Linked DNA regions of Oryzias latipes. The protein of the gene in region 1 purifies or fractionates together with the protein of each later gene. This does not show direct contact. Links are inferred from orthologs where the notes say so. Each region holds a gene or a part of one and is shown in the gene's direction. Other genes may lie near its edges.

Region 1 (4,416 bases):
GAAAACAGAGACTTTCCAACACGTCGCCCGCAGAAATCTGCAGCATTTACCTGACAGAGTCATGTGAATGTTTTTCAGGCCACTTCTGGCACCGAGGAGGTGGTTCAGCTCCGCTCGGAGGCTCAGCACTCGTCTGACTGGTAAGAGCTGCTGGATCTGGTCTCTTCCCGTTTGATCACTAACAGCACTAAACTGATTTTCTGCTGCCAACAAACCTGATTCTGTTTCTGCTCTGACACACACTCACATGCTTCTTTGGATCCACTTGAGATGTGCTCGTCTCCTTTCTCATCTTCTTGTCCCTTTTCCAGCTCTAGCCTGGCTAAGCTCACACAGCAGCTTCAGGCCACGCAGGGCAGGTGAGCCGGCGCCCTGTTTGGCTTTCTCTGTCTCCATATCTGCATGCTGCTCTACTGTCCCTCAACCAAACCTACTTTCCTCTGTTTGCTTGTAAATGAAAATGTTTATAGAATTTAAATTAGGGGAGTGACGATAACCGCATCACCGCACTTTTTTTTTGTTTAAAGTTTTTTACGGTTTATTACGGTTCTCTTTCACTCCGTAACACAGAACGCGTACTGTTAGATTTCGATGAAAATCACTACATGTTTTGTTTGGGAACTATTTTGTGCTGCGCAAAGTTACGTTTCTGTATAAACAAAGGCGGAGCCTCCTGCCCCGTGTTCTTCATGGGTATCAGGCGACACCGCGCCCCCTGCTGGTTCATCACCGCAGTGATCAAAAATCCCACACCGTCACAGCTCTAATTTAAATATTTTGTTATGAATCTTTTTTTCATGTGAATCACCATCACAAGCTGACACAGCTTTTCTCTAAATCTTTTTCATGTTCCTGAAATTATTACAGAGGCTACATATGTCACACAAAGGGCTTTACATATTATTATTATGAAAAATATTTAACTCAGAAGCCAAAAGCAAAAAAAGTACAATACAGCCCCTCTGAGCCCCCAACAGGCAACGTTATGAAACACAAAATGATAAATGAATTAAGATGGGAGGTACAAATCTGGCATGTTATTGAAGTGGGGACTTGAACCGGAGATGCAGCCCGGAGATGATATTGATCTATAAAAACAGTCATATTCATAGAGGACACAAGCACAGGACACCCCACCCCCCCGCCACCCCCGATCAAAGCAAGGAGCCAGACCCAGGAGATCCCCGTTCACTAAGGAGGCGTCATCGCTGGAACAAAACATGAAACATAAAAGTAAAGATAAAAGTAAAGATCAATAAATAAACTTTAAAGAATAGGTATAAGCACTGATATGGAATTAAATAGATTTAGAAATAAATAAATAAATGGAAACAAATAAGTATGAATACATAAAATAATGTAAATATCAAATGAAGATGTTCCTAAATTTGAGGGTTTTAACCCTGCAAAACCCAACAATTTTCTTCAGGTCTTTTAAAGTTATTTCAACAAATTTGGTTTTTATATTTTAATTTAAGGAAGCGGTATTCAGCAGCCAAAAAAAAAAATATATATATATATAAAAAAGAAATACGATTAAACAAAAACGAAAAAACCGAGGGCCAAATTTAATCATCCCTGAATTAGTGATTTCATATTCTAATGAAACACTAAGGCAATACTTTTTCCTTTCTAGTTTAAACTTCGCTGTCAGATGACAGCTGCAGTTTCCAATTGTACCATTTAGAGGGATTGTAGTTTTAAGACCCTTAAGTGACTTATTTTTCACCTGATTAATGTGAATCTCCTCAAGAAGGGGATGTACACCACAGAGGGAGATCTGTCACACCAGTTCAGACATTTAAAAATGGAGAAGAAAGTGAGATTCAAGCAGTTGAATAGGGAAAATGAAGCAGACCAGAAAAATAAAGATGTTTTTCAACATCAAGGTACTTGTATACTTAAGAACTTTTCGGGCTGTTTTTCAGTTTTTTAAATATTTTTTTTTACTTTCGATTAGTCCTTGAAACTATAAGGAAAACCTAATTATCTTGATAATAAAGTGCAACAACTAGGACTATTGTACTTTTGATGGATCTCTTACTTAAAAATGAATAGGATTTAGATTAGGGGCCTTAAAGGCCGGTGTGCTAAATGTTTTCCAACTAACCTGCCATAGAAGCTCTTTATTGGCTAAACACGCCTGATCCAGGTTATCAGCAGCAGATAAGGCAGGATTTCTGGAAAAGACCAGGAGGATGCTGTTCTTCAAGGCCTGAAGTTTGACCCCCTTGACTTTTAGATGAGTACTGTGGTGACCTCTGAAGAAAGCCGCCAAAAGGCAAAAGACAAATATGAAATTGTTAAATTTCAACCTTATTACTGTGTATCATGAATTCTGAAAACTGTCTGATCTTTCTGGAATCTAGAACCATGTCAAATATAGAAAAGAAATGCTGATGAGTTTGATATCCAGGTATCGTGAGCTGGAGGAGAAGCTGGATTACCTGCAGAAGAGCTCGGCTCAGCGCGACAGAACTGAGGCGCTGCTCAAACAGAAGGAGAAGGACTGCGTGCAGGTATGACGCACACCTGCTGTCCGGCAGCAGCGCTCCACTTCAGAGAACTGTCGACCTCACCTCTCCTTGTGTTTGTGCAGTTGGCCAAAGACTGTGAAGCCCTGAAAGCTCAGGCAACTTCCCTGCTGGGGGAACTACAAGAACGACAGAGCTGCCTGGAGAAGAGCGAGCACGAGCGCAAAATGCTGGAGGAGAAGTAAGCGTCTGACTGAAAAGGACATGAACACGTGGGTAGTAGCCCTCTCATGGGTGGGGGCTTTTCTGTGCACAGGCTAGGCAGTAAGGTGAAGGCGCTGCAGGCGGCGGAGCGGGAGCTGGAGCAGCAGAGGAAGCAGCACCACGTGGCCGTGGACAAGCTGATGCTGCAGTCGCAGAGCCTGGAGCAGGCGCTGAAGGTCGAGAGACACGTGGTCACAGAGGAGAGGTGCAAGCACAGCGCTGCTAAGGATTTATTCCAGGTCTAATCTGTGCAGGACATGAACGTGTTTCTGTTCTGTTAGGAAAAAACTGACACAGCTGCAGCACGCATACACATGTCTGTTCAGAGATTATGACGCCAAGCTGAAGAACGAAGTAAGAAAAATCTCCGTCACCTATATTTTTACCTTGGTTTGCTTTGCTCCTTTCATCCTGATGGTCCTCCTCCCGGTTTCTCCAGGGAGGAGATCTTTCCAGCCGGCTGGATGAGGCAGAGCAGGCGCTGGCCCTGAAGCAGGACCTGATTGACAAACTGAAGGAGGAAGTGGAGCAGCTGAAAGGCTCTCTGGAGACGGTGCCTGTCCTCACTGCGCAGGTGAAATTCTCATCACTGTTTTTCTAGTTAAACTGCAAGTGTTTTGTTACTTCCGTCTAAAATCCCAGACATACGTCTGAAGACTTCTATGGCAGTGGTCCCCAAGCTTTTTCAGGACCGGTATAATGTCAGACAATATAGGCTGAAGTGGGCTGAAGCATCCAGTTTCCCCTTTACTTTGGAGGTAAAGTTTATCTTGATCCTCTGTAAAAATATCTGAGGCTAGCTGCTTTAAACGTTATTTGTACACTAGATGTGATGTAGGAACCATTAAAGTGGGAAATAGATTTTCCCTTAACCCATAACAGTCAAAGTAGAAGCTAAAAAATCAGATGCCAACTTCAGCCTCATCTGACTTTAAAGATGCTGCAGATTAATAAAGGAAATGGCCACCAAAAATGGTATTTAAATAAATATAAATTGAATAGTAAACTAGAATTCACTGAGCAACTTTTATTAGCAGCATCCTTGTAACATTACACAGCTGGGGGGTGGGGGTGGGGGGGCGCTGCTCTAGGAGACCTAATCAAGATCAATTTAAACTAGATAAAAAACCACAGTGTAAATCTTTAAAAAAAATCTTCAAACGCAGAAAAAAAATTGTGTTAATTTGGCAAAAAATGTAAAATAAAAACAAAATGTATATTAATTTCAAATCTAGAAACTCTGATTTGGCGTACAGTAATTATAATCATCACCTCACTTCCTGGTGGTTAATGGGGTCAAAGCCCTATTCCCACGTAAAATTAGGGTCAGCGAAAAAACAAAAAGTCGGAATTGAAACTATAAACCAAGTACTGAAAAAACAAAATAACAAAAATAGAAAAGACAAGAAATGTCTCATTTTTCGCTTTTAAATTGCCACATTTCAGCTCTGAAATTTCAAAAAGTCGTGACAGGAAAATTCATGAGAATTTATGAAATCTAGGTCACCAAAAGAAGCCAAGTCAGTCTCATTAAAATGCACTAATCTTTAAATCTGACAATTTTACAGGCACATGGTTGTGGAAATAAAAAAGAAATACATTTCTTTTCACAGAATGATTTAAAAGGAATAAAGACACACACACATCTTCAGCTTTGTTTTCTTTTTTGTTTTTTGCA
Region 2 (4,516 bases), on another chromosome or scaffold:
GACTTCATGTGACTGTGAGTCATTGTCAGCTGATTGGCTCAGGACGGTGGGTGACATCACCACAAAGGCGTGCATGAAGGCAGAGTACACAAACACACAACAGTACACACAACTGAACAAAGCATGCAAATTCCCCATGTTGGTGAATTAATCATTAAGATTTGAAGAGAAGACCTAAAGGTGGACAGAATATCAGGAGATTTCCTCATAAACATTGACTATGAATTTATCATTACTGGTAGTTTACAGATGTAATCCATTTACTACACTTCTGAAAATTGTTTTTCTTTTTTTCCCTCTGAATAGGAAAAATAACTGAAGAATTTTAGACATCAACTCCCTCTCAGTGATCCAGGACAAATAATGGTAGACATGAAAAATGCTTACAGTTAACTAATCATGAGTATTTACTAGAATACAATATATTAGTCTTCATGCAGCTATTTTAACCTTCCATTAGGTCTCTTTGGCTTTAAACAAAAAACCCTGATGATTTCAATAAACAATGGCGTTGTAGTTTTGGTTTATTTATTTAAGTAAAGTTGTATCTTAGGTTTAGATTGTTCACTTGTCTTCGATGTTATAAGGCCTGATTATTTATTATTATTTTCTTGTGACAAACTTTTTTCCTTTTGACTTGGAAGTAATCTCTAAAACAATAATAATTTTAAAGAATAAATATTACATTATAACATTAACAAGAATAACATAAAAATGTAGGCTCCTCCTTGAACAGCTGAGAAAAAATGAATTACAAATTTCAAAAACATATAACGTTTTTTTTCTCCAAAAGAAAAAATCTAATGAAGTTTAACTGTTTTAAGGAAAAAAATTCCAATGTTAAATGAATTATTTATTTAAAATAACTGACATTTTATGGTTAGTTACTAATTTCTCTTTAATGAACTTCCATAGTTTTAAATTGAAAAGATTAAATTTTTTCCCTTGTTTAGTCTGAAACACTAAAAGTACTGAAGCAGTCTAGAACTTTCCTACTAATTCTAGAAGGATCCATTCCGATGGGCCACAGGTTTGATAAACACAGGAGGACGTCTCTAGGCGATTCATCGTTTCCGTGTTTTCATGGCCGCAGTCTGCCTTCTCACGGTGACTCCGCGATGTGTGTGAACTGTCTGCTGGGATCCTGATCACGTGACACACAAGACGGCCTCTGATTGGACCTCTGGAACCGGCGTTCCTTTTACACGGACCAATCCGCGGCTGCGCAACTGTTAACAGAATCACGTCACCTGCGGAAGTAAACATAAAAGAGGCTGAAATTTATCGCTGCGTCACAAACTGGGATTTTTCTTGGACTGTTCAAGTGACGGTTTTGCGTCTGTGTCTCGGTCCTGCTCCCGGTGTCAGAACTTTGTGGTTCGGAGTCCACAGCAGCAGCAGCATGTCTGTGACGGTGAAGGCTTACCTTCTGGGGAAGGACGAGCATGTGAAGGAGATCCGCCGCTTCGCGGTGGACCAGGACGTGTCCTGCAACTTCGAATATCTCAGCAAGAAAACCGCGGCGGTCTTCTCCAACCTGATGAACTCCTCCTTCAACCTCTTCTACAAAGGTGAGCCGCATGGGCCGGGTCAGACAGAGCCGGGATCCGCTGGGTCTGATCGGAACCGTCATACTCACTAACCTGGAACCGAACTTTTTGTCAATACTTTATTAAACAGCCGCAGTAACGCGGAAGACCAACTTAGAGAAACATTCGAGTATATAGAAGGACTGTAGACATTTGAATCTGTACAAACATAATCCGCCCACTGACTTATTTAAGAAACAGCTAATTTAAAGGGATTGCTGTCACGTGACGCATGTAGCCACGCCCACAAATTTCTGTCCTTTGATTTGTGCGCAATTGAAAATATTCAGTTGATCAGGAGGCCCGAAGTTTAGACCCCCCCCCCCCCCCCACACCCACACACAAACACAGGCGGAGTAGGTGGGACCTTATGACGTAGAGGGGAGGAGCTTCAGGTGTGATTCCGGTTTATATTTCAGATGAGGATGGAGATTTGGTGGCCTTTTCTTCTGATGATGAGCTGATGATGGGCCTGGGCTGCGTGAAGGACTCCACCTTCCGCCTCTACATCAAAGGTAAATGCACGGCCTCCTGTGTGAGATCAGAGTGACCTCCCAGCAGTCCTCCCTCACGGTTTTTTTTTTTTTTTTCTTCCTGAACTCTGACAGAGAAGAAGGAGCACCGCCGTGATTTCCCACTGCATGCCCTACCCCCTTTCATGTTTGGACACCCACCACCCCATGGCCCCCCTCATGCTCCACATCACGGCCCTCCCCCCGCCCTGCACCCTAACGTCACCTGTGACGGCTGTGAAGGGCCGGTTGTGGGAATGCGGTTCAAGTGCTCCGTTTGTCCCGACTACGACCTTTGCTCCACCTGCCAGGCTCAAGGGAAGCACACTGAGCACGCTTTGCTGCCCATCTGGCACCCCCTGCAGGTGAGTTACTCCATCTAACCATCTAATCGTCTTTCCACTTCTGTCTGGACATCGTGCTGATTTAAAAGAAAGGACTTTTTGGTCAAAGCCAAAATGCACTGACTGAACCAGAAACTGTGTCTGCAGTGGTTTCCCCGTGGAAAGTGGATGAAGAGAATGAGACACTGCATGTGGAACCAGAACCAGAATCAAAACCAAAACCCAGAGCAGCAGGAACAGCAGGACCAGCCAAGGCCATCAGCATCTTCGGGTGACGGTGGAGAACCATCAGGTGAGAGAAACTCAAAAAACGTTTGAGCCTAGGGCATTAACATGCTCCCACCTTAACCTCTGACCTCTGCAGCTTCCCAGGCTAGTGTGGACTTCCTGAAGAACATTGGGGAGGGGGTTGCCGCCATGTTGAGCCCCCTGGGTGAGTGTACATAGTGGAGTTGCTGTTTTTGGGGGACAGGCAGGAAGTGATGTCATGATTTCCATGCAGGAATCGACGTGGACATTGATGTTGAGCATGACGGGCAGAGGTCGAAGGTGAATCCACCCACTCAGGCTGGAGGGGGGGATGACAATGTGGCAATGGATGTAAACGAAGGGGAGTCTGCAACTGCTGAGAGGTCAAAGGTCAGTCTGTGTTCACTGATCAATGACTGAAATGAACGTGTCAACAACTGACCCTCGTCCCCACGTACACGCAGGCAAGCCGGGACTCTGACGAGGAGTGGACTCACCTGAGCTCCAAAGAGGTGGACCCGTCCACGGGGGAGCTGCAATCCTTAGACCCCAAGAACCACGAGTGCGAGCTGCCGTCGGGAGGGCAGCAGGGGCCCCCGTCGGGAGGGCAGCAGCCGTCGGTAGGGCAGCAGGGGCCCCCGTCGGGAGGGAAGCAGGGGCCCCCGTCGGGAGGGCAGCAGGGGCCAACAGGTCTGCGGGAGGCTGCGCTGTACCCCCACCTGCCTCAAGGTGAGTCTAGTTCTCACAAGTATCATTTGCTATGACTGTTGCCCTCTTGTAAGCTCCTCCCTCTGCCCCCCACAGAGGCGGACCCCCACTTGGTGGAGTCTCTGGCTCAGATGCTGTCGATGGGCTTCACTGATGAGGGGGGCTGGCTCACCAGACTCCTCCAGGCCAAAAACTTTGACATTGGAGCGGCTCTGGACGCCATCCAGTACGCCAAGCAGCCCCGCCCACCACAGTGACCGCACCAGCTGCTTTATTTAACCTGAGTTTCTATCTGTTCAACTGTTAATCAACTCCTTAACCTGTTTCTGTCTTTTATTAATCTGTTTCTGAACAATAAAAACATGAAGGAATCCGAGTGGGTGGAGTCTTGATACACACCTGTACTGCCAAGTGCACAGCAGGCTGCTTTTGAGAACCAAAACAGTCCAAATGAAACACTAAATGTAATTTTATATCACCTGTTTCCACGGCAACACCTCCACCAGCAGCACACTTGAACCAGACTACACATAGGAGCTGCTAGAAGTCAATACTGAAGTCTTCCTCAGTTTCGAACAGGGAGGAAACACTGAGTCCTGGGTGGGGCATGTTGGGGGCTTGACTCCGCCCACAAGCTGGAGGCTCCTCCTCTTGGATTTCGGAATCAGATTTGAGAGAGCAGGCTGAGCTAAAGGCGCGGGGATGGAAGTGAGCTTCATCAGCAGAACGTCTCATTGCTGGACCAATCAGCTGCAGATAAAGAACACAGTAGTGAAAGTTGGATGACAGAAACACCAGAACCTGAAGAGAGAACTGTTTCACTCAAAGTGACCACGTGCTAAACAGCAGCCTGATCTCTCATATTGAAAGAAAAATTCTCATTCAACAACAATCCATGAACTTTCCTTGAACTAAAAAAGGTATTTGACACAAACCCCAATATTTTCCTTGAACTCAAATATAGCATTGGAGGGAAAGCTCTTCAACGGCCAACAACTCATGTAAACGACAGTATCTACAAATAAGATCAAATCACAATTTTGGAATAGAACTTGTGGAGTAGCTCAATGGTCTGTTCTAGGACCAGTTCTTCAGTCTGTATATACATAACATT
Region 3 (4,416 bases), on another chromosome or scaffold:
AGGGCCACACTCTGCAGTCCAAGATGTTGTTTGGCATAATAATAAAAATATGTTTCAATAATGATTGTAGACACACATCTTTTGTTCCCTACTCTGATCCTTAAAGAATGACTTTAATGAAAATTGGGGTTTAAACATATTCTAATGATGGAGGACGTGCATAAAGAAAATTAAGCTTAAAAGTACAGAAAGTATAGCCTAGAAAACAACATTGATTTTGGTTGAAAACGGCGTAGTCATAATTATATCATCATATTATATGACCACTGGGAACGCTTTAAAAATACATCAAAAGATGATCGGAGTGGGGCTTGAAGGAAAGCTTTTGAGTAGACGCTAGTCAGAATTTGGTTTTTACGTATTTATTCTTTTTGCAGGCGGGCCTCGTCTGAATTGCAGTGAGCTGCTGAAACACGTGACAGAGGTTCTGCAGAGCTCCCACTGCTGCACAGCGTACGGAGAAAATTACAGCAGCATCCTTTTAAAGGACATCCTCACCGTCCGCAAGTACTGGTGTGACATCTCTCAGAAGCAGTGGCAGAGTGCGGAAGCATTTTTAACTCCATTTCTGGAAAGTTTTGCTTTGTCAGCTCTATTCTCCAGAATTCTACATATCATTTTCTTGTTCTTTGTTTTTTCTCATAGATCTGTTGGATTTGTACTGTGGCTTTTTTAACTCTTCCTCCAGATCCATCAACCGTGTGTTGCTCAGCAGAGTCATCCACACGTTGGTGCGGGGCTGCTGCACGCAGACCGACGCCTTCACCGACGCTCTGTTCGGCTTTTTCACCAAAGCTCTGCTTAATGCCAGGTGAAATGTCAAATGCAACGTTCTTCAGCTGTGCTGCGGTAAAGTTTCTAAAGTTTCCTCACACACCTGCAGGCAGGAGAAACACCTGCCGGTCTTGGAGCATTTAGTCTCAGCTCTGAACGTCTTCCTGAGGTCGGCGGCCGTCAACTGCAGGATGAGAGCGTGTCGCCTGGGGGAGGAGCTGCTGCCCTCTGTGCTGTATGTGTGGGCAGATATGAGGCCAAGTGCACCACTCAAAGAGGAGATTGTGGACTTTTTGAACCTCCAGATGTGTGTTCACCACCCTAAAGGAGCCAAAACACACGACACAGGTGGAGCAATGTTTCCCATTTATTCCACAAAATTAAAACCACAAGGAAAACTGATGTTTTGAATTAGAAGAGAATGTAGAAATAGTAAGACATGTTTCGTAAACACATTTAATCAAGTATGTTGGCTCCAACTGCAATGGGCACAAAGCCAGTGTTTGTTGGGTTCTTGTTGCTGTAGGTGCTCACGCTGAAGACTGGACGAGGTGGCGTGGTCTGCTGTACAGCCTGTACGACTCCTTGGTCAGAGAGATCAGCCAGATAGGCAGCAGAGGGAAGTACGCCACAGGGAGCCGACACGTAGCTGTCAAAGACAATCTGATCGAGCTCACGGCTGACATCTGTCACCAGGTAAGCAGTTGCTGCTCCTATTTCCAGATCAATCATGAAGTCCAGTCTGTTGGAAAAGCATTGTTGTTTTGACCCAAGCCTAAAAGAGAAGCCTGTGTTGTTTTCTAGGACATAGTTTCTGCAGAGCAGGAGTAGTTCATTAGAAATTCACCTCTGAGCTGTGGGCGGGACGGTTGGCGTGGAGCCTGCTCCCCTTCCCTGTTACTGAGAGCTCTCTGCTTATGCGCTAGCTTACAGCCCCTCACACCCAAGGCCTAACATTGGCACTGCTACACAAAATTTCGACCAATATTGAAATTATCCAGCCGTACAGTTTTGATCCAGATTCAAGCTCAGACGAGGAAAAAGACTTACATTGATCTATTTGTCTACACAAGGATGCATCAGATACGGCGCCCAGCGTATTTTCCACGTCACTTTCTAACAGAGTGTTTTCTTCTGCTGCTGATCCACAACTATTTTAATAAAGAAATACTCAGAAAATGCTCTTTAAGCTTAATTTTCTGTCTACACCTCCTCCATCATGTAAGAAACACCACAAACAACATTTTTATCATAGTGGGTCTTTAAGCAAGTTTTGTCTATCCTCTTTTTTTTTTTGTTTCAATAATCCTTTGCTGCTGGTTTGCTGTAGCTGTTCACTGATGACAGTGGGAGCCATACGTTGGAGGTCACGCAGGCCCCCCACAGGGCCACGCAGATGGGAAGTCCCTCCCACGGTGCAGCCAGTAAACGTCGGCGCATTGAAATGGGCTGGGAAGTGCTCCTCGAACGTCTGCAGCCTCAATCCGATGACTTTGACATCATCCCTTGGTATTCATTTCACAAATCTGTTACAATTAAAAAAAAACTCTACAACCGGACAAAATGCCCCGAAAAGTTTCTCAAGCATGTATTCTCTGTCTTTAGGTTGCAGATTACCTCAGTGCTCACCTGTAAGTACTCGTCTACGGTGCCCAGGCGGGAGCTGGTTCCACTGCTGTCGGCGTTGCACCAGCTCCTAGCAGAGCAGCGCAGAGGTGAGAGGAGCCTGTACGTGCTGCGCTGCCTCAGGGAGGTGGCACTCTGCCAGGCCCGCTGCCCACACAAAGCCCAGGCCCACAAGGCGGAGCTTGACCGGCTCTGGGCTCGCATTTGGGCCCTCGGTGTGCGAGGTGTCGGCTCACCCCACACAGAGTCTCTCAGCCTGGATCTGCTGGCCTCCATTGTGCACGGCGGGCTGGTGAATGTCGACCGAGAGTTCTGGAAACTCTTCTCTGGGTCTGCATGCAAGCCATCCAAGTGAGTTATTTGTTTTAATGTGCAAAAAACAACGATTTAATACATTTTAAGTTGATAAAATTGAAATGTTTTAAAGCATCATCAGTCCTTTTTCTCTTTTTTTTTATGTACAGGAGTTCTGCTCTTTGTCTTACCCACACAATCCTCAAGTGTCCTGTCCCAAAAAGTGTCACGTCGAGCTCCATCTGGGACTCTTTGGGAGCTACAGAGGGATCTCCATCCCCTTTTTTGAAAGAAAATCTTATTGCTTGGCTGCTGCTGAGCAACCAGAATGATGAGACCGAGGACAGCAGCAGGCCTCATCCAATCATCTGCAGGTCCCTGCTGTCGCGTAGTCACCACTATCTTTTTCTTTTTTATCCCGTAGAAAATATGCTTTTAATTATATTTTGGTTTCTTCTCTCTGAATTAAATATTTTTTTTTCTGTTGCAGAGATTTTCCTCATAATCTGATAGCAAATATTTTGGTCTCACTGACACTGAAAGACACAAGAGTTGGCTTGAAGTTCCTACTGGGTACAGAGGGAGTTGCAAGGTAAAAAAAAACAAAAAAACAAAGTCTTTGTAATTTCCAATTATATGCATTAGTGTCCACACAGCTGTTTCCTGAAAGCTGAAGTCTTCTAAACCTTTAGTTGCTTTTGCAACCCTGCAGTGACCTTCTGGAAGTGTGAATAACTGCTGTTTTTGTCTGTAGCGGCTCTTCTCGAGACCAAGTAGCATCCGAGGCCAAAGAAAACCTGGAGGAGATTGAGACACTCTACCTGCACTTTAGCTTTAATGCGTCAGAGATCCCAGCACGCGCCAACGAGCCGGCGCCGTCAGCCGACTGTCAGTTTCCCGCCGTCCTCGGCCTCCGAAACAAGCTGGAGCAGCTTGTGCTTTCTGTGGCGGACAGCCTGCTCAACTGTTATTCTCCTGATGTGAGTAGAGGCTTTATTTATTTATTGTGTCTGCTGGTTTGGTCAGAAACTCCTATTTTGAACCCGGCAGTCTCCGTCCGTTCCTCCGGAGTGCTTGGTGCGCTGTTGTGCTCTGCTGATTGGTGTTCTGGCGGGCTACGTCTCTACGGGATGTGTGACTCAGGACGAGGCCTGCTGCTCCCGGCTCTTCACTAAAGCAAAGGTGCAGTGGTTCCTCTCATCTTGCCTTCTTCCTATGGGGGTAAATCATCTTAAAGTGAATTAAAAAAACAGTATGTAAGTTTAAAAAAAATGAGAAAATTTTTAAACTCAAAAGTATGCATTGTAAACGTGATCATTTGAAACTTGGATTAAAAGAAATACCATCAACCTGAAGCTGTTACCAAATGAAAAATGATTTTTATTTTAACAGCCGCTATTTTATATTATCTCTTTTTTCTTTTTCTCTCTGTCTCTTTAGTTTACTGTTTCAATTCAGAATTTTTGCTTTCGGTGCTAAGCCTAACTTTACTTTAGGGGTGGGGCTTTCAGCTATGATTGACATCACGGGACAGAGCTCATGGTGACGTCATTGCCCCACCAAAACAGCGTCTGCTGTGTCATCCCTCCTCTGATCTACCAAACCTCGCGAGCATTTTATCCCTACTGTGCGCCGCATCATAGTGGATAAAACCAAAGTGGAAAATGAAAAACAGCAGCTTTTACAAACAAACATTGTTTTTCAATTTAGGTTTACTTATTT

Evidence for each region.
Region 2: the proteins of ikbkg (region 1) and sqstm1 purify together in Homo sapiens (affinity purification with western blotting; 3 studies listed by BioGRID and IntAct, with this or other methods). This does not show direct contact. The link is inferred for Oryzias latipes from reciprocal best matches to the Homo sapiens genes IKBKG and SQSTM1.
Region 3: the proteins of ikbkg (region 1) and atm purify together in Homo sapiens (affinity purification with western blotting; 7 studies listed by BioGRID and IntAct, with this or other methods). This does not show direct contact. The link is inferred for Oryzias latipes from reciprocal best matches to the Homo sapiens genes IKBKG and ATM.

Annotation. Positions count from the first base shown.
Region 1 is NC_019865.2:4,843,983-4,848,398, reverse strand, and holds part of ikbkg (NF-kappa-B essential modulator), read left to right. Parts: intron 1-78; coding exon 79-140; intron 141-311; coding exon 312-359; intron 360-2,416; coding exon 2,417-2,519; intron 2,520-2,599; coding exon 2,600-2,715; intron 2,716-2,790; coding exon 2,791-2,943; intron 2,944-3,019; coding exon 3,020-3,092; intron 3,093-3,177; coding exon 3,178-3,312; intron 3,313-4,416. UniProt on the Homo sapiens protein: Regulatory subunit of the IKK core complex which phosphorylates inhibitors of NF-kappa-B thus leading to the dissociation of the inhibitor/NF-kappa-B complex and ultimately the degradation of the inhibitor.
Region 2 is NC_019868.2:3,816,548-3,821,063, reverse strand, and holds sqstm1 (sequestosome-1), read left to right. Parts: upstream 1-1,402; coding exon 1,403-1,571; intron 1,572-2,008; coding exon 2,009-2,104; intron 2,105-2,197; coding exon 2,198-2,466; intron 2,467-2,592; coding exon 2,593-2,737; intron 2,738-2,809; coding exon 2,810-2,878; intron 2,879-2,947; coding exon 2,948-3,084; intron 3,085-3,158; coding exon 3,159-3,423; intron 3,424-3,498; coding exon 3,499-3,659; 3' UTR 3,660-3,773; downstream 3,774-4,516. Other genes in the region: mrnip (MRN complex-interacting protein), read right to left, coding at 3,943-4,152. UniProt on the Homo sapiens protein: Molecular adapter required for selective macroautophagy (aggrephagy) by acting as a bridge between polyubiquitinated proteins and autophagosomes.
Region 3 is NC_019871.2:24,879,690-24,884,105, forward strand, and holds part of atm (serine-protein kinase ATM), read left to right. Parts: intron 1-377; coding exon 378-542; intron 543-645; coding exon 646-811; intron 812-883; coding exon 884-1,122; intron 1,123-1,300; coding exon 1,301-1,470; intron 1,471-2,104; coding exon 2,105-2,283; intron 2,284-2,379; coding exon 2,380-2,751; intron 2,752-2,864; coding exon 2,865-3,068; intron 3,069-3,184; coding exon 3,185-3,286; intron 3,287-3,448; coding exon 3,449-3,674; intron 3,675-3,744; coding exon 3,745-3,876; intron 3,877-4,416.